2 linked regions of the Nothobranchius furzeri genome follow. The protein of the gene in region 2 interacts with the protein of the main gene of each other region in a pairwise test. Links are inferred from orthologs where the notes say so. Each region holds a gene or a part of one and is shown on either strand. Other genes may lie near its edges.

Region 1 (15,400 bases), on a different chromosome or scaffold from region 2:
CCTTACCGAAACAGGTCTGCTGCGAACGCCATCTATTCTGCGATGGGTTGGAAACTCCAGAGACAAAATCTACCTACTGGATGGACTCCTGGTTGTAAGAGGCTTGCCTTTAATAAAGAAATAAATCTGCTCAGACAAATATCGACGCATCAGTCTGACAGTTTGGCAGTGGAGAGACACAAATATATATTTAGTTTGCAAAGGCAACACATTATAAAATAAACATCGATATTGACTGAACGTTTTCCTCTGGATGACCGGAGACAGAATTTAACATTTATCGTCCTGAGGTCGGGGCTGAGGAGTGGATTCCAGGAGCGTTTCAGGTAGAACGCCCTCCAGCCAGCCGAGACCTGGGGAGTGCTTATGCCGCGTTGAGATGCCTCAGCGCTTTTTCTACACACAGCCACTGAAGTTCAGAAGTGTTGCGGTTACTTTGAAATCATTCTCAGCTGAGTCTTCCTTCTAACCCTCACATGACACACATGCCAGCTGTTCTTTCATCCAAATCCTCCTCTGTCACTGCAGCTCTGGACCCCAGCAGTACACAAAGAGAGGTATTACTCTGGCTTCAGCCGGCTGCTCTGTGGAGAGCGGCTGAAACAGATTGCTGAATCGACTGCAGCACATAATGAAAATGACTCAGATCACATCAGACCAGTGCGATCAAACTGTTTGACCAATCATCTCTTTTCTTCTCCATATTTGAAGTGTAATTTGATGCTAATCACGTGCATACGTTAATTATTCTGTGTGCTTACTCTGAACTTCTCATTAGTTTAAAACTACGCTATCCCCTGGCAGTGAGAGAAGATGCTTACACATTTTAGCATCTGTGAAATAAAACATTTCACAATTTTCAAAGATTGTAATAATTTTGTATTTTAATTATGAAGAAATTAAATTTTTTCTGGTCCGTTTTGCTCAATGGCCCAGCTGTACGTTCGTGCAGCAGTTAGTGGGTAGGTTCACTGTAGGGCCTGGTGTATGGATCAGACATAATGACTGAGTGGAGGATAGCAGAGTCGTGTGGGTGGGAGGAACCCAGTGGCTGGAAAGCCTCACCAGTTTGGAGCTTCAGATTTTGTTCCTGTTCCATGATGGATGTTTTCCAGTCCCCCAGTTTCACTCTCTATGTCACTGTCAGCTGGTAAAAGGCAGCAGGAATCGGCCTCAAAGAGATGGATGATCTGATTTATTCTGCGCCTCCACACAACAGAAAATTGCTACCATGTTATACTTGTTTTATACAATACAAGAAGTTCACTCAAGCTTGTTAAATAGGTTTTATATGGATGCTGACTAGAATATTCAAACTTTAGACATGTCTAAGGAATTATACCAGATTAATAAATCTGTAATAAATAAATAAATCTGAAGCAGATAATGTGACCAACCCGCAGTGCAAACTCTACCTACTGCTATGGTTGGTCTAGGTTTCTGGGCTAGGTGGAAGACTGTCCACAAGCCGCACGGACCCCAAGAATGCATCTGTATCGCGCTCAGTATAAAAGTGGCATAATTCCTGGAATTTCATTCTTATGGACACAATAAAATTCATGACCATAACAGTTTAGTTCATTCATTTCTAAAGAAACTGTCTCATCAACAAAAAAATAATATATAGTTAGAAGAAAAAGCTGGAGGGCCTAAGCCTTCCGGGGAGCCAGCTCCCCGCTGAAACCAATATGCACCCTCATTCCCAAAACCCATCCGGAGCATGGAGACCCCAGTCCATCTAGCCCTAGCCCAAAACAGCAGCATCACAGAACCCCACAGAGACTGAGGCCACCCACTCAGCCCCACCCCAGCAGAATATCTACGCCCACCCCCACATTTGACCAACCTCCAGACTACGTAAGACATAAGGCACCCATGTCAAGCTGGATCCTCCCTCTCTCGGACATCCCCCTCCTCCATGATGGAATATAAGTGCATCTGCCAGAAGGTACCAAGGTCTACCCAAGGCCCGGAGCCAGGGCCAGGCACTGCCCCATGCTCCCGCCCTTCCACCAGCATCATAGCAAGGCCCCAATTCCCCAGGCCCAGCATGGATCCACATCCGGGGATGACTGCCCCCATATCCCAAGCCTCAAGGTCCTCACCCAGACTCACCAGAGGCGCCAGACCTTTCCACCCAGCCCCAGCACTTTGGGCTCTAACGGCCCCCAATTGCTGAAGTTTAGCAGCAAAATGAATGTCCCAAATATCAACAATTGTTTATGTTCTCCGAATACAACTAAAACTACAATCAAAACAGTTTATGGTAAATGGTCTGTATTTGATATAGCATCTTCTAGAGTTCTGGAACCCTCCCCCCAAGGCGCTTTACAACACAATCAGTCATTCACCCAGTCACGCCCTGGTGGCGATGAGCTACACTGTAGCCACAGCTTCCCTGGGGCTCACTGATAGAGGCAAGCCGGCCGTACACAGGGGCCACCAGTCCCTCCGACCAACACCAGCAGGCAAGGTGGGTTAAGTGTCTTGCTCAAGGACACAACGACAGTGACAGACTGAGTGGTCCACGAACCTGCAACCTTCCGATTACGAGGCAAGCACTCCTGTGCCACCGTTAGATAGAAAACAAAACCATTTTAAATATTAATAAATTAAGATACAGTAATACTTGAACTGGCTCTCACTGTGTCTGCTGGAAACATCTCTGACCCTTGAACACATTTATTTGAGGACCTCTGCCCTAAAGGGTCCATCATGACACAGGTCTCATAGGAAGGGTGTGAGTAGGACAATAATGAACACCTTGATGAAAGAAGATCACATTAAATCAGGATACCTTGCTTATGGAAGTTTCCTGAAGCCAGACCTCCACTGGGCTTGATTACCTGGTGGTTGAGCCACAGGGGTTCAGCCTGAAAGATGGGAAGTCGTCTCATCATGGCTCCAAGCAACAGGTTGGCTGCTTAGAAACCAGGCAGCAGTTGTGGGATGGGTGCTCTGATTCCCTGAGTCAAACTAAGAAAACCTCAGGTTTTGAATTAATTTGGAGTTCTGAGAGCTTAAACAGGCCTCCAAACAGCCAAAGAGAGAGATGCAATTCAACAAGAAATCAAAGCTTATGGTATGTTTGTAGCATGTTTATGACCCGTTTAGCCTCCACCAGTTGTAACTGATGTAAGCTGTGAAAACAGTTTGAGCACCTACACATCCACACAGACATATGAGGCATGTAATCAGGCAAAAGGATCATCAAGAGTCTCTGCTTAATAGCAAAAAAAAAAAAAAAAAAAAGAAAAAAAAGGTTCCCCTGAGGAGAGGAGGAAGGGGTTTTTCACCAGGAAAGCCGTCATCTAAAAAATAAATAAAAAACTAGAGCAACTCTGCTGAAAACAGCTGAGCTTGTGTAAGCAGCTGAGGATGGAGATGGAGCACCCTCTTCTGGTCCGACTGCCCATCCACGTCCACCTGTGGAGCCGTGAGGGATCAAACCAACGTGGAAACGTAGAACTGCATTAACAAAAGAAGACATCAGAGTCCATTTTCAGAAAGCATTTTTAAATTAATTTTATTATTTTATAGCTAATTTACAACAAGCGCTTCACTGAACTGGAACATTTTATTTTGCTTCATATTGTCATTATTTATTGAATATATTTTTCTGCATCAGTTGACTTTGTCATTAACTTTGTATTCAGTCTTTTCTGTAAAAATTCATATACTTTATAAGGAATATCACACTATGATACGGATGGCTGAGAGAGATATTAAGAAATACACCGAACCCTCAAAGAAAGAAACTGAAAACATATTATTCCATTCATGAGCACATTCTCTGGGACTCCATTGGTGTGTAGATGTAAACGCATATGTGCACATGCTATTTTGTTTGTGCATGTGTGTGTGCGTGAGTGTGTTGCCCACCCAGAGTGTACATGTAATTTAAACTGGGCTGTAGCTCTTAATGGCTTCTTCTATTTGCTTGAATTTAGCATTTTGACCCTAAATCCACATGGAAACCCAACTTTGTATTTACATCGTCTGCAGGCCGAGACCCAAAAGCTTTCTCGATGTGGGGAAAAAAAAAAAAAAAATCCAACTCGGGATGGACAAGTGACAATTTAAAATAAATAAACCAGAAAACAAAAAAATATAGATTTTTGTCACATGTTTGGCTTCCACGTTATGCTGAGAGGATCAAATAAAGAAAATCAGTAAATATGGATGGTGATTGCCATCAAAACCTTCACTCTTATAATTCAGAACACAGAAGTTAATACAAATGCATGCTCCTAATCGGTCTTCACCCGCCCCCTTCCTGCTCATATTAGCATTTAATGCCACCAGTGCAAACTTTTTAGATACCCCTTTTTAAAAATCTTACACATAAATCCATCTTCATTGCATAACATCATAGCAGTATTGCACTACATCTTCATATGTGTGTGTGTCTCTCTCCCTCTCTCTCTCACACACACACACACACACACACACACACACACACACACACACACACACACGCACACACACACACACACACACACACACACACACACACACATTTTATACATCATAGCCATAAGCTGTAAGAAAGGATGTATTTTCACTTATAGCATCATCTATAATTTATATACGACACACACTTTCTCACCACTCGCACAGGCAGCAAACAAGCGCACACACACACACACACACACACACACACACACACACACACACACACACACACACACACACACACAGTCACACAGAGACACACAGCTGCATTGCACATGTATTTTTTTTCAAACAAGAACATGTCATAGATGTCAGTTCAAAGCTTGAGTCTGAGGTCTTCTCTAAATCATCTTAAATGTGTTTTTTTTCCTTTCTGTTCAGCATTTATTGTGTTTTACAACAATAAAATGTGTCTATGAGGAAATCCAACAACCAAAACAGCAATTTCACCCAAATAAATCAACAGAAAACTGCTCGGAAATGTTGATTTGTACAGACTTATTCCTGTTAGAAATTGTCATAAAAAAGATAAATATTTATATATATATTCATATATATAGGCCATGGATTTTTTTGGATATTTTTTCTTTCTTTAAACATGATTTAGCTTTAATTTGTGTGGACTTGAGAGGGAGAAAGATGCAGGGAAAAGTGGAAGAGAGAGAATACAAGAAGACCTATTCCCTCCACGCGAAAGGAGTCGCCACAGTCGTCTGCAGACGCACACACACACACACACACACACACATGTACAAACACACGCACACAAATGCAATGGCTTTTGCTGTGGCCACTGCAAACAGCGTGTACGTCTGTGGTTGAGGGGGATCTTTTTGGAAGAGTGACCGGCGGTGAAGTTAAGCTGTTTGTGCCTAAAGAGATAACATTCATCCTGGATTCTGACAAGCGGGTCAGAACAGCCGGTCTCCCCCTGCTCTTACTGCAAGAGGGGTGTGTGTGCGTGTTGCTGGACGAGTGTGAGACTGTGTTTGTGTGTGAGCATGTGCGCGTAAGAGGCTAAACTGTAAATCAGAGCATCGATTTGGCTCGGGGCCAGCCTCTTCTACCTTGACGAGACATGCTAAAACCCTTCACGTCTGCCTTTCTTCATCGCTCTCGTCTCCTTTGTTGTTGAGGAAGCATGCACAAATTCATCATATTGACTTTTAAACATAATTATTTGAACTGCCTTAAAATAATCCATTCAATTATTTAAGAAGTGAGTCCTGGATTTTGAGGCACTTCTCCTCAGGAACCACAGCTCAAAAAGGGTGAAAAGGGAATCCTGCTTTGCTCCCAATCTGCCAACATTCCTGCTCTGAAACCAGCTAACCCTAACCCTGCTCTGAAACCAGCTAACCCTAACCCTGCTCTGAAACCAGCTAACCCTAACCCTGCTCTGAAACCAGGCAGAACAAACAGGAAGTGGAAGACAGAGAGCCAAGGGGATCTTGCAGGAGGATTGTTGCATGGTGGTCTGTAAAGGTGATCTCCGACCTTCCTGTGTTGACCTCTCCTCTAACATCTGGAATCCAAACACAGACTGATTAAAGATCTACATGAAGGACCGAAGTTCACACCTGGCTTGAAAATTCAACTCAAATCGAACTGTTTTCCAATGAATTTACTTGATATCAGGAGGGGAAACGCATCTGATTGTGTATTTGGGTTTAGATGCATGTATGTGCACGTTATATAAGCATCACTAAAGGGTGCAGTCACAGCCAAAACACACTTTAATGCTGATCGTGAACTGGGCCTCAAGTATTGAACCCTACTTCATTAAAAGTGGAATACAGATAAATATTTTCTCTCTGTCTCTTTCAGTTTAATTACACATCAGTGTGTTTACACGAGTCATAAAGTCTCTGTTTCCTTCATTTATTGTTTTTGGTATCCTTCTTTGTCTCACTGGGTCACTTCCTGTTTTTGTCTCTGTGTCATTTGCAGCCTAAGCGCCGACTTCGCTGGAGGACTTCGCAGGCGGGCGAGGCTGGCTCGGCCTTGAGGGTGGAGGGGGGAGGAGAGGAGAGTGAGGGGAGGTCGGCCGGGTGCAGCATCACAGCCTCTCCCGGGTGGGGATCCAGATGTAAGGCCCCGATTGCTCCTCAATCACTGTCTTTACTTTATGATAAACTTCCTCAAAGCTGTCCCCGTCCACGACAGCTGCAGCAGGAAATGAGAAAAGAGAAGAAAATCATCAAAGAGCGAGCAGCGACAGAAGGAAGGAGGCAGAAAAATGATAAGATTAAAGGATGCCTTTGGTAGACAACTTAGGGAGCAACTTTTTAGAAAAATGATTCAAAAAAATCTTTTTACAAATGTTTCCACACATTTTGAAACTTGTTTACTTTTTCAGTGTCTGATACAATGTCACGTACCACAGCAATCTGGCATGTGGTAGAAACCGCAGACAGCACTGGATCTGTCAGAGATCTGCTGCTGGGATGTGCCCTAAATGCATCTCTAAAATATTAAAAATCTCTGAGTTATCCCAGAAGACTCTGGTGGGACTCAAAGCGTTCATCTCATTCAGGGTGGAGGAAGTCATGAATCAGTGGATGAATGAAGCTTGAAGCGTACCTAACAGAAGCGCCGTGAGTGCTAAACGTCTGAGTGCTAACGGTGATTTAAAACAGCAGCTCTGATGTGCATTAGCCAAAGTTTACGTAACCAAAACAGCTTTTGTCTTCCTGTAGAAACGTCTGACCTGAGAGAACACATGAACTCCAAGATCTGGGAGACATTTTGTATAAATTAGTTTTAAATCTGACCAAAACAGCTATTATGATCTTAAACTCTATGAAAGATCATGGGTGACGTGCACATTTACAGAATGTTCTTGCCTAACTTGAATGGTCCACATGAATGCTCTCAGGAAGACGTTTTAAAGTTCTGTGCTTTTTGCATGTTTTTGTTCGTAAATATCCCATGCCTTGGGATTAAAATCTATTAAAGCAACAATTGATAGTGTTTAACACTTTAAACACTTTTGTTTTCAAACTGGTTTCAGTGGTTTTGAGCGAGAACATTCACCAGCTTCACATTGGACAGCACTCTGTCGCCTTCTGCTGACCGGAATCTGCACTTAACAGTTTTGTGGTTGGACAGGAACACTAGTGGGGGGAGGGGGGGGGCTGTCTCTGCTTGCATTAAGCTTGGTTTATGCTTGACGCATTTACTTTCCGCTTGGTGATGCGGCTCGTGGCTGGAACGCGCTTTACAACTCGCAGCGTTTATGGTTCATGCGGCTCATCTCTGCGGTGAGCCAGTATTCTCCCAGACTGAATGGGGCAGCATGGAGCTCTATGGCATGCATCCAACACTACACCATTGTAGAAGTAAAAATTACTGTTTACAACATGGCATTCCAGCATTTTTTAACAGCGTCCTCGTCTTTTCCGACAGTGCGAGCTATTTCTCTCCAAGAATTATTAACAACATGTTGATCACGGTGATCTCTGAGAGCTGAATCATACAAATGTCTGTATTTACGAACCTCTGCCAGTCCGCCATGTTTTTCCGCGTCCGACCGTCCGCGTGGTTAGAAAATTTCCTAGGTGCGCGTTGCGGAAATTTTGGGCCGCGCGGAGCCGTGCGGACCTCGCAGATGCGTCAAGCATAAACCAACCTTTACGGCAATAGCTGTTTACTGTGCTGGTAGCTAGTTTAAAGGCTACCAGTTTGCTTTTGAGAGGGGAAGCAAGGAACTAAACTAGAGTGAACATTGGAAACATAAGAAATCACAGACTGATGGTGACCTAGCTTCTTTGTAAGTAATGATATTTGCTTTGTCAAGCAGTGTAGATCTTTTTCTTTTAAGGCTTATTTAATATCTGTTAGCATTAGCTTGTTGTTCCAACCAGTAAAGGGCGAACTGGAAAACTTATCAAGTTCAACTTTAAACTGTAAAAGTTTGCTAATCTGTAAAAATATGCTGGAAGGATCAGGATTTCTATTAGTAGAAGTTTGTTTTTATACAAATTTTTAACAAAACAGAAGAAAAATGAACAAAACAGTGAATCTATTTTTTATTTTATTTTATTTTTACCAAATCACATCTGGTGTAATCTACCTCCCACTTGTCTTTAGCTTCAGGGCTATTTGGATCTTTAACACTTGAGTGTAAATGTTATGTTCTACGAAATTAAATACAAAAGCCAAATGGGTAAAATAGTCACATCTTTGTGATAACAGCATTCCCACCTGAGAAACACTCTAGGAAGTCTTGCTCTAGTTTGAGGGCTCTGTCCATCGCTTTCCTGGCCTGCTCCTCTGTCAGACGAGTGTTGATTTCTCTGTTAGCACACACACACGCACGCACACACACACACACACACGCACACACACAGTTGTTGCCATAGCACGTTTTTGCTGATGCTGCATTTGAGGAGTTGTGAATACATACAGAACATTCTCCAGCGACTTGGGCCGAACAAAGATGGCGATAGGGTGAAGTTGAGCTGCCTGTAGTCTACGGACAGCGTTAGCAGACACATCCAGGATGCAGTGCTTCCCCTGCTGCTTGTGCACACACACACACACACACACACACACACACACACACACACACACACACACACACACACACACACACACACACACACACACACACACACACACACACACACACACGGTCGTGAGGATTTTTTAGGGGAAAATTGATCATTGGTGTCATAACAAATGAAAGCGCTGTTGGAGGCTAGAGCTGATGTGCTGAATTTTGATATTCAGGTTTAAATAACATCCTTGAGTCTGATCAAATGTGAGTGAAGAAGGTGTTTTTCTATTTCATAACTTCATATATGAATAAAATGTAATAATAATCATTATGTCAGAATGGGTGATTCATGCCTTCATTACATCCCGGCTAGATTACTCCAACTCCTGCTTGTAAGGCATCCGTAAAGCTGCTCGTCCAGACGTCAGCAACAAGGTTTCTGACTGGAGCTGACAGAAGACGGCACATTACACCCAAACCTAAATCACTCCATTGGCTGCCTGTTCAGTTCAGGATCAATTTCAAAATTTTGCTTCTTGTAATTAAATCATTGAACAGTCAGACCGCTCCCTATTTAAGCGAACTCCTCCATTTCTACCACCCTCCTCACGCTCTGCAGATCAGCTCCTCCTCACTGTGGCACGCTTGAAGACCTGTGGGGAAAGGGCTTTTTCCATCTGTGCCCCAAAACTGTGGAACGCACCTCCTCTCCAGGTCAGACAAGTGCCCTCTATTTTATGGGCGACGGTGGCACAGGAGTTAAGTGCTTGCCGTAATCAGAAGGTTGCAGGTTCGAGCCCCGCTCAGTCTTTTGCTGTCGTTGTGTCCTTGGGCAAGGCACCTGACCCACCTTGCCTGCTGGTTGGAGGGACAGTTGGCGTCTGTGTACGGCAGACTTGCCTCTGTCAGTGTGCCTCAGGGCAGCTGTGGCTACAATGTAGCTCATCACCACCAGCGTGTTAATGTGTGTGTAAATGGGTGAATGACTGCTTGTGTTGTAAAGAGCCTTGGGGGGTTCCCAGGACTCATTTCCATTTTTAAATCACACCTGAAAACACACTACTTCTCCCTGGCCTTCAACTCCTAAACCATAAAGCAACCATCATACTTCAATATTAAATCCGTGAATTAGCATTTTGTGGTTTGACTTTGTTTTAGTGGTTTGATTCCATTTCCCTTTTTTGCTTGTGTTGTTTTACCATGTGCAGCGCTTTGGTCGGTTGTAAAGCCGCGTTAAAAGCACTCTAGAAATCAAGCGGTACGTATTATTTTCCTTTTCATCATCATTCCTACGTACTTGCTCGGCCACCTCACGGACACTTTGCACACTCGTCCCGTACAAGTGGCTGTTGTACTGTCCTGCCTCGATGAACCGATGGCTCTGGATGTCCTTCTCCATCTGTTCCCGGGATGACACAAAGTGATAGTCTCTCCCGTCCACCTCGTACTCCCTCTTGGGCCGCGTGGTGTCTGTCGGGAGCAGAAGGGAACAATAAAAAGAATGCATATGCTCATTTTCAAATGAAAACTAGAAATGCTGCAGGTGGTGCCCCCCCAGCAAAATATAAATATAATAATAATAAAAAATAATTAAATACTGTGCAGATCAGTCTTTATGCGCGACCGTGTGATTACTCACGAGGGACACAAGATCCAAACTTATCAGGGAACTCGGACAACAGGTCATCATTTATCCTGTCCTTCACCGGACCCAGGATGATGATGGGCCTTGCGTAATGCACTTGTCATGAGGAGAGAGGAAGGAGAAAGAGAGTGGGATCAGTCGAATAAGGGAAATCAAAACAAAAATGAAATGTCATATTAAAGCCATCAGCCGCCGCTCCTGCAGGGTCTTACCTTCCACTTGAGTAACTGTCTCATAACTGTGGGGGGTTTTATCTCTCCCTGGTGACAGAACAGAGGCAGTCAGCATCACATCGTTTTTTTATTAGAAATGAGATTCAGCTTGGCGTCACGCCCGTGTGCATCACTCATATGCCCTGAATAGCTGCTAGCTTATATGTTGGAGGCATTCTTTGTGCATGTGAATGCAAATTGTGGTCCTGGATTGCTGTTGATTATTTCACTCCTTTAAGGAACACAAATAGTCAAATTGTTCCATCCATCTCGAAGCATCACAGCTGCAGCAGGCAAAACAGGAAGCTGGCCGAAACAGATGCTGACCGTATAAATGTGAGAATGGATAAGCATCATTTACGCATCAGCAGAATGTGACGGTTAGTTAGGTTTGTGTATTTTAATGTTAAATGAGTCTGCTGAATGTGCGCTGCCTCTGAGAAACGTGAGACAGATGTGACTTTGCACTAAAAGATTTACAAACAGATAAATGATCCCAAACTGAACCGATTTATTGCAGAGGCTCATTTTCTGTCATCCTGGCTTTTAAATGGTTTTAAAAATGTGTTGAATGGTTCAACTTGGCTGTTAAAACAGTTGAAAGGATGAATGCAGACGCAAACATGAAAACCAAAAAGTTTAGTGAGCATCCAAATGAGTCACAGGAAATGGAAAAGAGCTATTTTATAAATCAGTCATTTTATTAAAGGAAAGAAAATGGTTCTAAAACTGTAAAGGCCAACAGGAACGAGCTTTGGGTGAATCATTTTGTTTTAGGCTAAATAAGACATAGCTGGGAAAATGAAACTGGTCAGATGTTCACACACTAAGAACACACAAAAAAAAGAAGCTTGTTGTCTGAGAAACAAAATATTTAAAAAGATCAGTCTGGAAGTAGCATTATTACATGGATGCTGAACATTAATCTGCTTATTATTTGTGGAGTTAAAGCTGAAATCACCTCACTAAAAACACTAATCCTGCTTATGGGCCTCTGATGTGTAACAAAATCAGCTAATTTAAAGAAAACTTCTTTTTACACAGATTTTCTTTAATATAACATTTATCTTAGATAATGGTAGCATTTTAAAAACTACCTTGGATGCTGAAAACAAAAGAAGTGCTGATTTAAACAGACAATATGTATTTTTACCATTAATCTCTGGAAATATCCATCAAAATGTTGTTGAAAATGAATAAAATGATGTCCAGTTGTTGAATATTGGCGGCTTCTTATCATAATTGAAACCATAAAATCAAGTACTTATCGTGGGTCTAGCGACTTTGGGGACGCCATATTAGACGTGTTTTCTTCTGGCCTGCTCGGGGTTCTTCGCCTGTCGAGGTGCCTGTCTAGTAAACACTAGATTGGCTGGACGTATGACTTATGGAAGTTACGATACCAAGTTCACAAACATTTAGGCAGTAAGAAACACAAAGTTAAAGAGCAAACTGCAGGTTAGAAACTACCATGAACCAATGTTTAGAGAAACATAATAGAAACTGGTTTAAAACATTTTTTACACATGCATAAATTATTTAGGCTTTTAGAGTCATTTCTGTGAGAAAGTTTTTTTTTATTTTGGCCAAACCAAGTGACGTCAGCTGAGGGAGTCCTGAGAAAAATATGGACTCTAATGCGGCTCTGACACAGACGAAACTTTAAATGTTTATAATTCTACTTCTGATGGACCAGACCCATGAAGTTATGAGTTTGCTGCACGCCCCAGAGGGCAGAGACAAACCAGAGGGAGAGACCATCAGTCAAAGCAGAGAGATTGGGGAGAAGTAGCTGGGGAGCAGCAGGTGAGTTAACGATGTTAGCTTAAACTCATGTGCTAACATCACAATATTGTACAGATTACTATCATGTATCAGACAATTACAATAGTATTGGTCAATTAATGCAATATTAATACTTGACAATAATAAACTAATGAGCGTCTGTCAGCTGTCTCATACTCGGTAATATCCGTTCACGTAACGTAGTTTAGTGCTTAGAGAGGGAGAGACACGTCTGTCATCCGGTTCTGGAGCTCAGGTGGGCTTCTGTGAGCTGGATCTGACCCAGACACCAGCGAGCCGGTCCAGCTGGTATTTTTAAAAGCTGTGCATCCTCTCCTGGAGGTCCAGGCGGCTGTTCTGATCCGGTTCCGACCCAGAAACAAGCTGACCCGCTGAGCCGAGTGTCTCTTCTGGTGGTCGGTTCTGACCTGGTTCTGATGGGGATATGAGCTCCAGAAAGCCACATTTAATTTTTTAACCCCACCACGGGTCTCTAGAGCCCAGCGTGGACCTCCCTGTCCCGGTACTGACCGATGTGGGCTACAGAAGTCCGTCTTTTCAGCTGCAGAAACGCCCTCAGGCACAGAGATAGAGGCGTTGTTTCTCTTATCTGGAAACCCGTGGACTCGATGTCCAGACAGGCTGGAGCTGGTACAGCCTTCACAGACTCTAGTTTATCTAAATGAACACAATCCAAAACTCGTAAACACACACTGACTGGATAACATGACCTCTCTAAACTAAAACCAGCCACTCTCCACATTGAGCTGAGGCAGCGCCTAGCTTCTAACTCCCTTTGGTCACGTCAGAGGTTCAGATTTAGAAAAAAGAGCTTTTTTAGAAGCTTTGCTGAGAAAGGCCACTTTTTACTAGAAAACTCTGCTGTTGTGTATTTTACAACAAAATATCCACAATAAGCATTTCAAATAGTATTTTTGGGCAGCATTTTATATGAATAAGAAAAAAAATAACCTGCAATTTTCTCTTTAATAACAAAACTGCTAAACTCTGTCCAAAACCGATGTGACAAAACAGAACTGAAAAAGAGTGGTATTGCTTTAGTATGATGACATCACCAGCAGGCGCAGAACCTCGAGCAGATCTGTGAAGTACAATGCCAGAAAAACTACAAACAACACTGCATTCTCGACGGAATGAACTGAAGGACCATCAAAGTCTGAGCAGCCGTGCAGAGGTTGCATGCTTTCTGCTCCACAGGTAACAACATTACTTTACATTTACTTTAAACTAGCAACAGTCACGGGGATATGGTGTAAAACTACCCTGAAATGTATGTCCTGCCCCCTAGTGGCAGAAAACTACACACTGTCACTTTAAAACTTGACTATTTTTTCTCCCGTTATGCTTTCTGTCTTTATTATTCTAAAACGTTTCATTTCCTGAATGTCTGCATGATTTGTGAAATTGCCTTTGATTGTGTTGTATTTTCCACCTCTGAATCACTGCAGTAATCAGCCTAAATCAGGGAAAATCAGCCAGCCTTTAGTGATGTTATACGTCTGTGTTTATACTAATTACCTTGAGTGCCCACGTTGTCTCGCCCGTGGTCCTGTAAACAGAAACCAAACTCAGATTAACTCTCAGACGTTTAAGAGAAGCGACCTCATTCAGAGTGCACGGGTGAGTAAACAAACCCTCTCTTTGGTGTTAACCCGAGACCACTCTTTCCTTTCCACCCTGTAGAAAGATGAAGCATTTTATTGACTAAGTCTCTAAAACAGCTGCTGAAACACACACACACACACACACACACACACACACACACACACACACACACACACACACACACACACACACACACACACACACACACACACACACACACACACACACACACACACACACACACACACACACACACACACACACACACACACACACACACACACACACACACACACACACACACACACACACACACACACACACACACACACACACACACACCAGGTCCGACCTGTGCTTGCTGGGGATGAAGCCGACCTCCTCTGCCTCGTTCTGCGGGCTGACCTTACGGGCCTGCCACCACTCTTCATCTCCACAGTCCAACACGTGGAGAACGTCCCCGAACCGGAAGCCCAGAGCTTGACTGAGGAAGCCACAGTCTGCAGTCTTATCATAGTCAAACAGAGCCCTGAGGGAAGGGAAAGGAAAGCATTTAGTGATGATCTTTTCAACCTCTCCTGAGATTTCTGAGACAAATGCAGCTTAAAGTGTCACTGATGCTAAATTTAAAGGTATGATCTTAAAATCAGAAACAGAGATGAGAACTTCCTGACATCTAGGCGTTAATGATAAAGCCTCTCAACATTTCAGGGACATGTTTTCTCATATTTATGACGGCGTCGTTTCAGAGTTTTTTCCGTCACTTGCAGGGAGAAGCTATTATCAGAACCATTTTCTCTCTTCTATCTCCTGATTTATGCAGGTCTTTTTACTCTGTGTCAGTCATTAACGAAGACCCAACCCATCAAAAATAGCCAGAAAATTCAGATATTTTGGAACTGTAATGATTATGAACCCTTAAAACAAAACCCACATTTCCCCCTATAGCGTATTGTTTATGGGTTTATTTTTTTGTATGACATTTGAAATTTTTGGCTACTTTTTGTTTACAACAATGTTCATTTTTGAGGGGAAAAAAAGTTTTGTCAATAACATGTTGAAATTATAGAACATGTTTTTTAAGTTTTTCCTCTTTTATTGTTTTTCACACTTTTTACAACCTTTTTCAATCTGCTACCTCACAGCTGGACTTGAATTGCACCACAAAAGAGAAAT
Region 2 (15,400 bases):
TGCTGCGCCCCGGGAAGCCCTCAGGATCCAGGTCGGCCTGAACACTCGCCGTCACGCTGTTGGAGCGCTTGAAACGAGCACGCCTGCAGACGCACAGAGGCACGCCAGGTTCAGATCCACCCAGTCACACGCAGGCTGATATTTAATTTTTCGCCTCATAAAGGCCTCCCAGTATAATTAGGACTGTGATGTCACACCTTGCCTAGTTGTGGTAAATCTTCAGTTTGTGGAAATGTCATGTCAGCGTGCTCACTGATGAGTGTTTGAACTGGTGCAAGTTTGTACCCCACCATCCCCTTATTGGTGTGGCCCAGACTTAACCCCCCCCCCCCCACCCCCGGGCGAGGAAGGGTGTACTCAGACACTTATCATTGTCTGGGACTATTCACATGCATGCATGTAAAATCTGACCTACAAAAATTCTGGCTATAATTAGGGGAAGTTGGGTGCATGGTTTGCTGTCGTCATGGTTACACTCACTAACAGAGAGGAATGATGCTTTTTTCCCCCCTCTGAGTTCAAGCTGTGATGCTTGATGAAATGTTAAATAAATTAATAAAATCAAGAAGACAAATCAGCCGTGCGCGGCTGCACTGTTGGGCGCACAGGAACGAAGAATATAAATTCTAATTATTCACATAAATTACTGCGCAAAGGCCAACAGTTCTTGATGAAGATACATATTTTGGAGGAAAGAGAAAATAGCAAATAAACAAACACTTCTCTGAGTTTGCAGCTTGTGCCTTTGATGACAGAAACTTTAAATGCCAAGCAAAACAATTCAAGTTGGCATGAAGTTGTGTGGATGATTACTTTTCTACAGGTCAGAATCGCGATGCTCTTCGTTTTTGTACCTTTTCTCATCTTCCACCTGGATTCCTACAGAGTGCACCTCTGTAAGGGCCTTTCCCTCCGTGTCCGAGTCTGACAGAGACTCTGAGCTGTCCACCTGGGACAGAAAAGCAGCAACACAAAGTCAGACTGAAGATAAGAAAAGAAACTAGAATCAAGAGGATTTGCCACACTGGTGTTTTGCTATGTCTGCGAACTAAGAAAAGATGAAAGAACCGCTGTCTTTACATACAATGCAATGGTTTTTGGTGCAAAAGTGGATGAGTGATATCTGCGGGGTATTGTGAAGAAGAAGGTGCAATTCGCCAGACCCAGCAGTTCAGAAGAGGAACACCATCAGAGCAACATGGGCTCTCAGAAGACCTGAGCAGCGCCACAGACTGATGGACTCCACGCCGCGCTGCATCGCTGCAGTAATCCAGGCCGAAGGAGCCCAAACTAAACACTGAGTGCTGCACACGCTCATACTTTTCAGTTAACAAACATTTCTGAAATTCCTTTTTTGCATATCCCTTAATATTCTAATAATCGGAGATACTGAATTTGTGATTTTCATTAGTCAGTTAAAATCATCCAATTTAAAAGAAATACTCATTTGAAATGCACCGATCTGTGTGTAACGAATGAATTTAACATACAAGTTTCACTTTTTGATTGTCATGATATTCTAATTTATTGACCAGCACTTATAAATCTGTTTTAAACTTTCTCTATTTTCAGATGTAGAAGACAACTAAAAATGTACAAGTACCATCTACTGGGTTGTAAACAACACAGAACAATTACATTCACATACATTTTACCGAACCTTTTGTGTGTGTTTTCCACATGAGATGACGGTTAACTGCCTAGTAAAATATGAGAGCAGAATAGTATTATCATAGTTCTTTGTGTTCTGTGTAGTCCATCGACATGGCCATATAGCTGGTGTTCCATGAAGGTCCTAACTAGACTATTCTAATAAATCACAGAGAGACAGATTGATGTTTATGAAATAAATCTCACCTGCACAGCGATGGAAGGTGTCCACTTCCTGCCGCCACGTCCGTCATCCTGCCCCCCCACTTTATTTAGTACTATGCTGTTCTGAGGAAGAGAGGATGACTTCCCCAGACTGCCCCCCACCCTACTGTCCCTTTCCCTCACTGGTCTTGGCAGACCGTCCAGCAGGCTGTCAGCTGAGCAGCTGTGTTTGGCCCTCACACCCATCCCTGGGCCCCCATAATAGGGCACCACCTCCCTTGAGCCCCTGACTCCATCCAGGCTCTCTGCAGAGTTGCTGTGCTGGCGGGAATGACCAGGTCCACTGGCCGTGTAGTAGCCTCTACTGGAGGTCCGACCTGAGAGCCCATCTGCGCTGCCCAAGTCCACTGAGTTACTGTGCTGCTTGGGACGCCCGGGGCCTGAGCCCGGAGCCATCTGTCCACTGCCTTGGAAGTAGGCATCCTGGGTGGACTCAGTACTGCTCTGGGCTCGCACCGAGAGAGAAGACTTTGACATGCGAGGTGGGAGTGGGGGAGGAGCACCTTTACGATAAGGAAAGACTGAAGCGAAGGAAGAGAGAGAAAAAAGACAGAGTTGCATAAGACAGTTAAAAGTAAATTATGCCCACAGGAAGGGGGGTACTTACAAAAAGAACAGGCTGAAAGAAGAACGTAACAGGGAGTAAAAGAGCAACGAAAGGAGAACCAGCACAGGAAGGTGGAGAGGGAACATCAAGAACATTTAATGAATCAGGCTGGTGCAAAACGTGACACAGAGTTATGAACCTGACTTTAATGTGGCCTCGCTTTGTTAAAACTCTGCTTATTAAAGCTTTAATATAAAAAGTTCAACAGTGACAAAAGAAAACCTCTAATGAACACGAACATGAAACAGTCTGTTGAAAACAAACTGAGCCATCTTCTCTTTAACCCAATCTCTGGAGGACAGTAAGGATTCTATCTGAAGCTGTGACCTCCTGTGTGCAAACATCATGTCAGTAAGCAGTGTTGGGCAAGTTACTTCAAAACTGTAATGCATTATTTATTACTTGTTACCCTCATTTTAAAGTAATTCATTACATTACAATATTACTGATTTTAAAATGTAAGGCATTACACTACTTTTGCATTACTTTAAGTTACTTTCACCAATACGACTTCAATATGAATCTGGTAATGTGACGCTCAGTGAGCTCATGACATATATGTGGAAGGTGATGTGGTGTCTGAGCTAGGGTTGCTGTTAAAAACAGTCAGATATAATAACAGTGCTTTAAAATGATTGTTTATTAAATAAAAGCAACAACAATCTGTACTCTCAGCACGCTGCCATCTTATATTAACTGAGCAGGGAGTGGGGTGGTGGGGGCTCTAAGCCTATATTTGCCTTGGTCCCCAAATGCCTTGATACGGCCCTGGATGTGGGAGTGACTTCTGGGGTGATCTGATTCTATCTCATGTATAAATATTAAATGCTTATATATTATTGCTTTTCACTGGTAAAAAATGTGTATTGGGGATAAATCTCCCTACTTGTTTTTTCTTTTCAAGCACTTTGTTTTGTTTTCTTGATTTTATTTGAATGATTTCCTGACCTTTCTCTCTCTAACCTTCCTGCATGCTGCATGTTTTCTCTGTCTTCCAGAACAACTGTTTACTAGATTTCCTACTTTCTAACTAATCAGCCAAAGGGATCTACCGAACGCCAAAAAAATAAATAAAAAGCTTAATATGTACTGCGCTCCAGCAGCAATGAGTAGAAATCACCGGCGCACAGATTATGAACTCAGCTGAAAAGTACATGAAGTACCAGAGAATATGGGCTGATATAAACAATAGTAATCGAATTACTTTGTTTTGGTGGAGTGATTTTGTGAATATAACAGCGGCCGCGCGCAGGACGCAGCTGGAGTATTTGAGTCATTACCGCTGCGTCCTCTCTGCTCATAGAATGCCCGCAAAGCTGAGTCCATAAATGACGTCATATATGTGGATACTGGATCTTTTTACAGGCTTCCCGCAATTTGAATTTTTAGGAAACCCACATCTTGATTCTGGGTTCAAAAATGCATTGTAATTACCGTGTTACTGACAATTGTACCGAGTAAATATTACCATTTTCTTTCCCTGTAATGCCTTACATTACCACATTACTGCAAAAATCAATGCATCATGGTAATTAATTACATTTGTACCGCATTACTCCCAACACTGTCAGTAAGCACATTGTTGCTGGGATTTCTGTAAATGCTTCTTTGCAGAATCTTCAAAAAATTCAACAAGCATTTGCAGAAATCTAGGAATTTAGTGGCACCTTCCAACACACACCGAGTAGGAACAAAATAAGCACATAAAGGGATTTTCTAGTGAAGGGCTTGGAGATTATATGGCTGCATTAGCATAAACTCATCAGGAGATGTGATGAGAGGGTTAGAAGAAGAGAAATAGAGTGAGACAAAAGCAGGACAGCACGCTGAGCTATCACCATAACCATGAGTGTTGCTGTACCTATTACTGTAACCGAGAAACCTTCAGTCACACAAGGGAGGGAGTTGAGACACAAAGAGAAGAAACAGAGGTGAAGAAGAAGCATGGGCAATAACACATACGCCTGTGCTGATGGCCAACACATTCTCACACCCTAAGCGTCGAAAAAGACGATCAGGGTGTCCCAGAGCGTCGGTATCCGACGCCCGCGGTGAGACGGACGTTTGACCGAATTGTGACCTACTTAACCTTCCCCTCATCCCCATTCTAACCTTAACCAGCTTGCGCATGCAAAGCTTAATTGAAAATGACTGAGTTAAGGTTAGGATGGGGGTGAGGGGAAGGTTAAATTGCTGGAGGTTCGAGGTGAAATGTCCTTGTCACCACGGGCGCCGGGCACGTATCCCTGCGGTGACACGTGCCCCTGCGTGCCCCTGCGCGCCCTCTCCCGACGCACTGAGGCACCCTGATCGTCATATTTTGACGTTTGGTCACATGCGTCATGTTTTGACGCTTAGGGTGTGAGAATGTGTTGTGCTGGCGAACATACACAAATGCATAGGAGGAGAAATCTGGGGTGAAAGGTCAGATCATCACAGGAAAAGGGATCGGCAAAGCAAAGAAGGCTGTGAGGATGAAATCTAAAACAGGTGCAGACACCGCACATGACATGCAGCTGTGTAGAAGGCAGGAGTATAGCTTTGTGTAACAAACCAAACTGACAGGTTGTCATCGACCCTCCTCACCCAGTGTGCCCTCCATCGTACATTGTTCTGACACACATGCAGCCTGCTGGTGGACCATGCTACTCACCGGCCCCGCTCTTGATGGTGCCCTGGGGGCCCGACATGGAGAAGACGGAGAGGCAGTCGTCATCCTGCGAGCAGCCAGCCTGGATTGCACGGATGTAGCTGTGGCTGCGAGTGCGGAACACACCGGGAAGGTCCAGAGCCTCCACAGCCTGGGACTCCACCTCCCCGAACACAGTTTCACAAACAGCCTCAAACTGGTGGTTCAGCGTGTCTCCCAGCTCAACATCGGGAGGTAAAGGTGTGTTAAACAAAAGCATGGCTAAATATCACATCTTTAACCAGATTTTTAGGCCATTTTGAACGTATTCATTTCTAAAAACTATAAATAACTAGACATGTTGCATTTGTAGCAGAAATGCTGTTTAAATGATGATTTCTTGGTTACCATGACAACAGTGCCTTTGAAGTTAAGCCTAATTTATACTTCTCTGTCTGCGTTGGTATGGAGACACGCAACGCCGTTATGCATCAGCACAAGGGCTCTCCGACAGGCTCACAGAGGGTGACAGAGACATGCCCCAATTCTCAACTATCCATCAAAAGTGATGGAGACCGCAAGCCTGGGATCGGTCAAAACGCCACTTCCTGTAAATTCGTCAACAGCACCGCCATTGTCAATATATAATGTCAATGGCCATTGCCCCTACAAAAAATAAAAAGATACCTTGCAGGGGACATGGGGCAGATTGAATAATGCTTCGCGGAGAAGTCAGACAATACGAAATTTTATTCGCCCACGACTCAAGGAGTACAAAGATACACAGCAAGTGTTTTATTTGTGGACAGAAATGACGAGAAATGTGGGTTTAGAGGTGTCGGTCACAGAAAGAGGAAGAGGAGAATGAGGGACAAATTTGTTTGTGTTAAAAGTCCTTGAAATACATTAAAATGGCGTAAATACAATAGTAGACTATCATGAACCAGATATGTGGCTGATGGAGAAGTATAAATTAGGCCTTAGGCTCCATCCACTTGGTTACTATGACAACCATGACTTTAAAGTAAGGCCTTCCCCACTAAAAATGCATTGTTACATTGTATATCTTAAAACATTTTAGAGATATCAATACCAAAACTCATGGCCAACCTTTTCCAGATGGCTTGAGTGCTCCAAGCACTTCTGTTTGAGAAAATTAAGAGAAGATGTGTGTCGAAAAAAGTACAAAATAAGCAACAATCAAGAGAAACAGGAAAGACCCCTTATGAAGAAAAATATACATGGAAACCGTTTTCCCTCGCCTGGATGTGGGTCACCGGGGGCTCCCTCTGGAGCCAGGCCTGGAGGTGGGGCACGTTGGAGAGCACCTGGTGGCCGGGCTTTCCACCCATGGAGCCCGTGCGGGCACAGCCCGAAGAGACAACATGGGTCTCCCTATGGACTCACCACTCATGGGAGGAACCAAAGAGGTCGGGTGCAGTGTGTGACGGGTGGTAGTCGAGGGCGGGGACCTTGGCGGTCTGATCCTCAGCTACAGAAGCTGGCTCTTGGTACGTGGTATGTCACCTCTCTGCTGGTGGAGGAGCCTGAGTTGGTGTGTGATGTTGAGAGGTTCCGACTAGATATAGTCAGACTCACCTCGATGATTGGCTCTGGCTCCGGAACCAGTTTCCTTGAGAGGGGCTGGACACTCTACCACTCTGGAGTTGCTCCCACTGAGAGGAGCTGAGCAGGGGTGGGACTGTACGTTGGTTGTTTACTCTGGTGAACGAAAGGGTAGCCTCCCTTCGCCCACATGTGGGGGGATGGGTCCTGACTGCGGTCTGTGCTTATGCATCAAACTACAGTTGAGACTACCCACCCTTTTTGGAGATCTTGGGGGGGGGGGGGGGGGTGCTGGAGAGCGATCCTTCCAGTAACTCCCGCGTTCTGCTGGGGGACTTTAACGCTCACGTACAACGGCAGTGAGACCTGAAGAGGTGTAGCTGGGAGGAACGACACCCCCCCCCCCCGATCTGAATCCGAGCGGTGTTTTGTAATTGGACCTCTGTGCTCGTCACGGACTTACCACAATGAACACCATGTTCAGACACAAAGGTGTCCATGTGTGCTCTTGGCATCAGGATACCTTAGACCGCAGCTCGATGATCGACTTTGTTGTCATCTCATCTGATCTGCAGCTGCATGTCTTGGACACGTGGGTGAAGAGAGGGGCGGAGCTGTCAACTGACCACTACCTGGTGGCGAGTTGGCTCTGATGGTGGGGGAGGATGCCGGTCAGACCAAACATATTGTGAGAGTCTGCTGGGAATGTCTGGAAGAGTTTCCTGTCAGAAGGAGCCTCAATACCCACCTCTGACAGAACTTCCAAAACATTCCTGGGGAGGCGGGGCACATGGAGTCCGAATGGGCCCTGTTCAGTGCTTCTGTTGTTGAGGCGGCATTCACCCACATTCCTAGAGCAAAATGTAGAGTGAGCGGATAACCTGACATACATGTTTTTAGTCTCTGCGAGGAAACCGGAGCACCTACAGGGAAATCATTCCACACAGAAAGGCCACCAGCTAGGAATTAATCCAGGAATTTCTTGCTGCAAGGCAGCAATGCTTCCGACTGTGCCATTGTGCAACTCCAATCTTCATCATTTCACAGCCGTTCATGCTGTTCAAATATTAGGTTTATATTTATTTGTTTTGCAGACACTTTCATCCAAAGCAATAAATTCCAACCAGATATGTAACAAATGCACTTTTTGATGCAGTCAGATGACCTAACAATTTGGATTTTGCTCAGTGGGAGGAACCCGGAGCACCTGTTGAAAACCCAAGTATGCATGGGGAGAACAAGCAAACCCCACGCACACGCTGCAGCCTGGATTTTAACCTGCAACCTTTTTGCTGCACGACACAGTGCTACCAACTGCACCACTATTTTAGACTCGTCTAAAACTTGATTTCTCATAACATGTCAATAAGCTGTTAACAAAAGGAATGGCATTCATTTATAATTTAGAAACACACTTTCAGAGACCCAAAGCTCCATCTAATTCATGCACAGACATGACGTAATTTAATACCTGTGAGCTGGTCAAAGAGCGAGTGTAACTGCGAGAGCGAGCGTGGGTTTTCGGGGCAGTTCTGCTGTTGGGGTAAGAATCTGGGCACTGCTTACACGAGTACCTGGAATCAACAGAAACATAAGCATCAGTGGAGAGTACAACAACAAGAAACCAACCTTCTGACGTGCTGCTGCGCTCTGGCCGTGAGACCCATTTAGTTTGTTATAATTATGTTAGAATGTTGGAAAATACAGTCCACTGGTTAATAATAACAGTCACATGACTTTTATGGGTCATGTTTAATGCTCGCATCAGCTTGAGTCTTTCAGGGTTATGAAAATACATAACTCTCTCAAATGGGAGCAAAAATGCAAAATATCCAGATCCCAATGTGAATTTTATCCAACATCATTCAGATGTTGGAATAATTATCACCGTTCAATGGTCAGAAGTAGAATTAAATGGGAAACCTCACAATATTTCACATTATTGTATATATTTATATGTAATAATGCATGAACAGCAAAGAATTGTGGGAGTAAACGTAGTGTGGAGGATCCTCACCTTTGAAGACTGGCTAATAATGTTCTGTGAGGATTGCCTCGTTGTTGGTAATGAATTAGAATAATGGGTAGCTAATTTTTCACCCTGTTTCCAGGTCAGTGTTTATTTTTATAGGCTAACACAAAAAACTGTTGCAAAAAAGTCTAACTGATACAGGAGCAGTTTCAACAAAAATATGAAAACAGAGTTAGTACAGGTCAAAGTTGAAAATTCAGAATATGGTGCAAATGTTAATTTTATTCAGTAATTCAACTTAAAAGGTGAAACTAATAAATGGCATGGACTCCATACATGCAAAGTTAAATATTTCAAGCCTTTATTTGTTAAACTTTTGATGATTAAATCACTGAAACCACATCAGTAAAGTCACTAATGATATTCTCAGTTAAGGATCCTGTTTCTGTTCTGGCCTTGTTGGATATCTGTGCTGCTTTTGACACAGTCATTATTCACGTTATTGTCTTAAAAGGCGCAAACATGTAGGGACCAAAGGAACTGACAGCTCTAGGCTGATTTTTCTTATCGGTCTGACAGATTTCTCATGCGAAATCTTCTTTGTACTCTAGGGTTACATGTGGAGTACCACAGGGTCCAGTGTTTGGACCAATTCTTTTTACTATATATACACTGTCCAGCAGAAAATAACATAGTCACCACCTGGATTTAACTAAGCAAAAAATGTACAAGCCTCTTATCTATCTCAGGCTCAAAATAAGTTTTGATAAAAGGAGGAACAACTAAGTCCTTCAGGGGTTCTTCTGAGTTAAAAAATGCTCATGAAATACGTATGTAGAGTAACCAGGTAGGTAGGTTTTAACGTTGCTAATCTGCAACGCCTGCCTCCAGAGGGTTAATGGATAATTACTGCATGGGTGATTGTCTTTCAGCTGGAAACAAGTTATTTAATCCAAACTGCTGCAGTGAGTTGCTTCTCATTTCTCAAACAACCATGTGGAAAGTCACACCTGGTGGTCGTGGAAAATATGTTAGTCTGTTTCAGAAGGGTCAGATCACTGGCATGCATCAAGAAGAGAAAGCATCTAAGGAGATTGTAGAAATGACTTTAACTGGGTTAAGAACCATAGTCCTGTGTTCATGTCTGTTTGTATGTGAAGGTTTCAAAAGTATAAGTTTGGGGTCTCACAAGTTGGAGAGAAAAGAAAGGTGGGCATTTTCATTTATCTACTTTTGATTTGTTTTATTCCGTAAATAGCTGACTTTATTTGAAGTTTTGCTTTTCTCCCAAACCATCACGTTCCTGTGTGCCTCTGAGGTGTGTGTGTGTGTGTGTGAGAGAAAGAGAGAGAGAGAGAGAGAGAGAGAGAGAGAGAGAAAGAGAGAGAGAGAGAGAGAGAGAGAGAGAGAGAGAGAGAGAGAGAGAGAGAGAGAGAGAGAGATCAGTTTGTTTGCGGGGGCCCTGTGTCTTGAATCTTTTATTTACAGCTGATTGTTAAAAACTGTGTGTGAGTGTGTGGTATGCAGCAGACTCAAATAAGGTAATTAATGATGATCTAGATGTTTCAATGTTCATCTGTCTTTGTGCAGCTTTCTTCTAGTGTTTTGATTCACGTGTTACACAGAATTGGGTTTGCAGATGACACCACCGTCACCGGCTCATCTCGGACAGGGATGGGTCTGCCTACAGAATGGAGGTGGACCGGCTGGGGTCCTGGTGCAGCCACGACAACCTGGTGCTAAACACACAGAAGACAGCAGAGGTATTTGTGGACTTTAGGAAGCACACAGCCCCATCCCACCCCCCCCCCCCCCCACCCCCCATAATCCTGTCTGACACTCCAATCATGATGGTGGACTCATGTTGCTTCCTGGGCACCACCATCACCTCCAAAAGAAAAAAAAGGCCCAGCAGAGGATGTACTTCCTGAGGCAGCCGAAGTAGAGTCCAGTAGAGTCGATGAGGCAGTTCTTCACCACAGTAATTGAGTCCATCCTCACTTCTTCAATCCCCGTGTGGTACGCTGTAGCCACCATGAGGGATATGAAGAGGCTGCAGTATGGTGTGTGCTCTGCTGAGAAGGTCACTGGCTGCAAACTCTCCTCTAAACAGGATCTGTACACCTCCAGGACATTGAGGCGTGCAGTTCTGTCAGTAGAACTGCTCACTTCAGTTGCTTTGTTTAAGTCAACTGACCCTGTCCAGGCTAAAGACCAAAGGTGACAGATCATCTGCTGCTGTGGCCCCCAGACTCTGGACCTCTCTCCCCCTGAGGCTGAGATCAGTGGACTCTAGGGCTGAAACGCTTCCTCGAGTACCTTGAAAAATTTGAGTACAAAAAAGCCTCAAGTCAAATTCTCTGCCTCGAGGATTCGTTTAATTCATGTTTAATTAATTCTTGGTTTTGCAATCGCCCGGGGTCATGTTTCACCCGGACCAAAATAAGTGACGTACATACACACTGCACTGAATGCACACGCAAGTAGCGAATATAACTTAACTTTCTCTTAAGCCATGGCGGACAATGTGGACCTCGGAGGAGTGCGAAGAAGACAGAAAATGTCAAAGGTGTGGGACCATTTTTCTCTTCATAAGGCGGAAAACGTAGTCCAGTGTAAATACTGTAAAATGGATCTAGCCTACCACAACACCACATCCTCCATGCTGCAGCACTAGGGATGGGTACCTTTGACATTTGAATCGATACCGGTACTTAACGGTACCAATTTTCGATACTTTTGAGTGTTTAATATTTTAATTTTCTTTTATTATTAAATATATATTTTTCTCAATTTATAACCATATTTGATAAATATCACGATAAATAACATACAACTGTTTGTATTTTAACATCGTCCTTGTAGTTTTATAAGCTGATAATTAAACTGAAGCAAACATCTTTACTGTGAACTAAATTTACTGTGTATCTTCATTCCTTTTGCCATCATTTTTCAATTGATTTTTCCTACTGGGAAGTTAGAATTTCCGAGGAGAAAGCGAACGCACCATTAGCTGATAACAATGGGGCCAATGGAAGCTAACATATCAAGCTACGTTAGCTTAAACAGTTCATTTAGCTGCTGGAGCAGATTAAAACGATGATGCCTCACACTTAAATCGTTGTCACTGGTTTCATCTTCACCCAGTCACCCGTCACATTTAGTAAAGTGAAGCCAAACTTTAGAGTGCGTTCATGTTCTTCTTGTCGGAATTTCGGAGTTCCGAGGAGAAAGCGAATGCACCATTAGCGAAACGGAAGCTAACAAATCAAGCTAACGTTATCTTACATTTTATTTACCTACCGGAGCAGATTAAGATGAGGATGTCTCACTTAGATCGTTGTCGCTGGTTTCATCATCACCCAGTTACCCATCACATTTAGTGAAGTGGACCCAAGCTTTAGCGTGCGTTCTTTCTACCATGCTGCTCTGTTTACAACTGGCTCTCAGCGACCGACGACATAACGCTCTTGCGCATGCGCAGCTGTCTAGGCAAGTTCTCGTTGTGAAGGACGGGTACCGAAACGAGGCACCGTTTCAAATGAAGTGAATCGGTGTTCGGTCGGTACTATAGAGCTCCGGACCCCACGTGACTCTCAGTTAGTGGACGCCATTTTGGCATGCAAAAAAGGTAAACAAACACGGATGTAACCATGAACATGAACGGGATCCGCTTGGATTTTACTTCGTCGGAGTTTACTTCACACTTTAAAACAGAAGAAATCGTTTTATATAGTCAGAAATTAAATAGACTAAACATCTCCGACCCTTACCGTGCCCCTGGGATACTTTTTAAAAACGCCAGAAGATGTCGGAGCGGACTTCTTACCGGCACAACACCGGACCTGGCCGGGGGAACCCCTTGGGATCCCCCCGGCCGGAGGAGCTGGGGAGAAGGTCTGGGACTCTCGACTCTACTGCCCGCTCCGACGCCAGAAGCTGTCGGAGCGGGCTTCTTACCGGCACAACACCGGACCTGACCGGGGAACCCCTTGGGATTTACCCGGAGGAGCTGGCTCCGGCGGCTGGGGAGAGGGAAGTCATGCTACTGCCCCCGCAACCCGACTCCGGATACGCGGATGAAAATGGATGGATGGACGGACAAATAACAGATTTACACGTAAGTAGTCTCGGTGTGTGATCTGACAATTGATCAACCATTGCTTAAACATTAAATACAGCTTAGCCGGTTAATTGCTGTGATCATAAAACACGGAAACGGCAGCACGCAGAACTCACGAGGAAACGTTTTACGTGATGTTTACTTGTTGCTATGAGTAATAAGACAGAAAAAGCCACGCCAAAATAAGTTTAGGAAGCCCACTAAGAATCGTAATAAAAGCATTTAAAATAAATGCCATACACAGTTGAGGAAACGTTGGTTTAAGTACCTGATATGAAGTGGTCGCTGCATAAGCGAAATCCTTTACTCTCGGGATCCCACAGTTTCATTTTCGCCCGGTCACTAGCGCGTTTTATTACAATTGTTTGATCCAACGTTTGCGGCACTCCGGATCTTGGGGAATCCTGTAGATGGCTCATTCCTTATGTCGTCCGCGTCTGTTCTGCATCCTGGGGCACAACAGGAATCAACCATATTTCCCGTTTGATTGAGTTTTTGGACAATAACAAATAGTCCAGCTGCCGGCTTCTGCATGCCAATATGGCGCCGTTTCGATTTGAACTGTTGCATGCTGGGAAAAGTGACGTCAACTCCCGGAGCTCTATGGAATTCGGTCGGTACCTTAAAAAGTACAGAATTCGGTACCCAACCCTATGCAGCACCTGACCAGGAAACATCCACATGTAAATGTCTCTTCTGCAAGCGGACACGTCGAACCTAAAAATGTGCTAAAAATAGCAGTTTTTACACAACACGTCTGACTTTTTATTGTGTTGCTATTGATGTTGGTCGTCCCTCGGGATTGCTGCAGGAGGACTGTGAGGGATTTATCTCCTCACTAATGGTTATGTCTCGTGTTTCTGTTTAATCCTGTATTTCTGTGTTTGTGTGTGTGTGTGTGTGTGTGTGTGTGTGTGTGTGTGTGTGTGTATGTGTGTGTGTGTGTTAGGTCAAATAAGCTTGGTAATCTATAAATTACTTTAAGTTAACTTGATTTATTGGTGATCATCACTCCTTTCCTTCTGAGGTCATTTGTTTAAGTGTTGCCATGGAAGCGCGCCCATAGGCAGCCATGATCAGTTCCTGGTGTGCTTAATCAGCTCTAATGAGGAAGCAACTAAATGACTCAAGAGAGAGGGGGGAGAGGAGGTTATCTTGTGTTTGTTTAAGTGCAGTTGTTGTTGTTTTTGTTCTTTTGAGTTAAGGTAGGAGGTAAATATGTAAATAGATTGTTTGACATATTTTGTTGAGATGTACTTTATTGATTGCAGGATTTCAAGCTGATTGTTTGCCCTGCCCATGTCATAATGGTTGGTTCTAAGTTAGCTTTAAAAGGGTGGATTCAGCACTGGTGTTGGTTGATTGCTTGTTAAGGGGAATCCATGCCTCAATGTCATGGATTGTTTGCATAAAAAAAAAGGATAAAAAGTCAGAGCTCTGTAACATCCTGGACTCTTGTGTTTTCTTCTGTTGACAAACAGCTGATAACATCCTGAGTGAGTGACAAGGCAGAGGCTCTGTCTGGGCCCAAACCTTACAAGGATGCAGGTATTTATGAGGAAAACGAAAGAAAGCAAATAAATGTTGTGTGATCAGTATAATTTGACATAACCATGACAAACATGCTTTCGACAATCCTTGTTATTGTGTGTTAAAAAAAGTGTAGAAATGAAAACGGACGTGTGTTAAAAGGGAAATAGCTGGAGAGCCATGTTTGCGCATGTGCCGTGAGCGGTTCTGGTGCTGTTTGGGCCGCAGCCGCTCGCAGCGCCTCTTCAACAGTTATCCTCCTAGTTTTTAGATTCTCACACGAGGGGAAAATCGGCTCAGGTCGTATACTTATTTTTTGCACAGGCATTTGTTTACTGTGAAGTAAAGTTGAAATGCTGAAGTTTTGAAAACAAATTTTGAATAAAACTTGAAGAATTGCTCATTTTAAGAGGTCTTTCATATTTTATAACATGCTATTTGACATAGGGGTTTAAAAACATAAAAGGGTAATTTATTAGAGTACTCGATTAATCGATAAAAGATTCGATAGAGTACTCGATTACAAAAATATTCGATAGCTGCAGCCCTAGTGGACTCGTTTTAAAAGCAGCTGAAAACTCACCTGTTCAAGCTTTGGTGTGACCTTCATCACCACCCTCTCCTTATTCTGCTCTTATTCCGCCTTTCCATGGATCCACTGATTTTCCACTTTCCTATTTATTTTCTTTCTCTCTTTCCTTACATTTTTAATCACAATTGTAGTTTTTTTCTCATTTGAAACATATTTCTAATCATGTTTTAAATCTTTTTTATGCTTTGTTTTTTTTGTTTTTGTGAAGCGCCTCGTGATTTTCTCTTGTGAGGCGCTGCATAAAAGAATGTTGTCTCTCTTTCTGTGTTGTTTTACCTGAACTGATCCACTCTGACCAGTGCCTACACTGACTTGTATAAAGTAGCTGCCTCTCTAATGATTGCCTCCCAATATTATTATCATTTCATTGTGTTTATTTATTCATTCTAATTTTACTTATCATTTCTCCTTTCTTGCACCAAGTACCACAGCAATTTCTGAATGTTGTGATTCTTGCACATATGGGAATAAAACCCCTCTGATTCTGATATAAATATTTACAGCTT

The links.
Region 1: the proteins of dlgap3 (region 2) and disks large homolog 4 interact in a two-hybrid assay, tested with the Homo sapiens proteins (2 studies listed by BioGRID and IntAct). The link is inferred for Nothobranchius furzeri from reciprocal best matches to the Homo sapiens genes DLGAP3 and DLG4.

What each region holds. Positions count from the first base shown.
Region 1 is NC_091750.1:46,514,184-46,529,583, reverse strand, and holds the end of disks large homolog 4, read right to left. Parts: intron 14,754-15,400; coding exon 14,577-14,753; intron 14,297-14,576; coding exon 14,254-14,296; intron 14,169-14,253; coding exon 14,138-14,168; intron 10,862-14,137; coding exon 10,814-10,861; intron 10,698-10,813; coding exon 10,596-10,697; intron 10,427-10,595; coding exon 10,254-10,426; intron 8,977-10,253; coding exon 8,864-8,976; intron 8,754-8,863; coding exon 8,662-8,753; intron 6,622-8,661; coding exon 6,515-6,621; 3' UTR 3,500-6,514; downstream 1-3,499. UniProt on the Homo sapiens protein: Postsynaptic scaffolding protein that plays a critical role in synaptogenesis and synaptic plasticity by providing a platform for the postsynaptic clustering of crucial synaptic proteins.
Region 2 is NC_091751.1:28,425,100-28,440,499, forward strand, and holds part of dlgap3 (disks large-associated protein 3), read right to left. Parts: intron 8,252-15,400; coding exon 8,149-8,251; intron 5,353-8,148; coding exon 5,136-5,352; intron 2,397-5,135; coding exon 1,858-2,396; intron 950-1,857; coding exon 855-949; intron 84-854; coding exon 1-83. UniProt on the Homo sapiens protein: May play a role in the molecular organization of synapses and neuronal cell signaling. Could be an adapter protein linking ion channel to the subsynaptic cytoskeleton. May induce enrichment of PSD-95/SAP90 at the plasma membrane.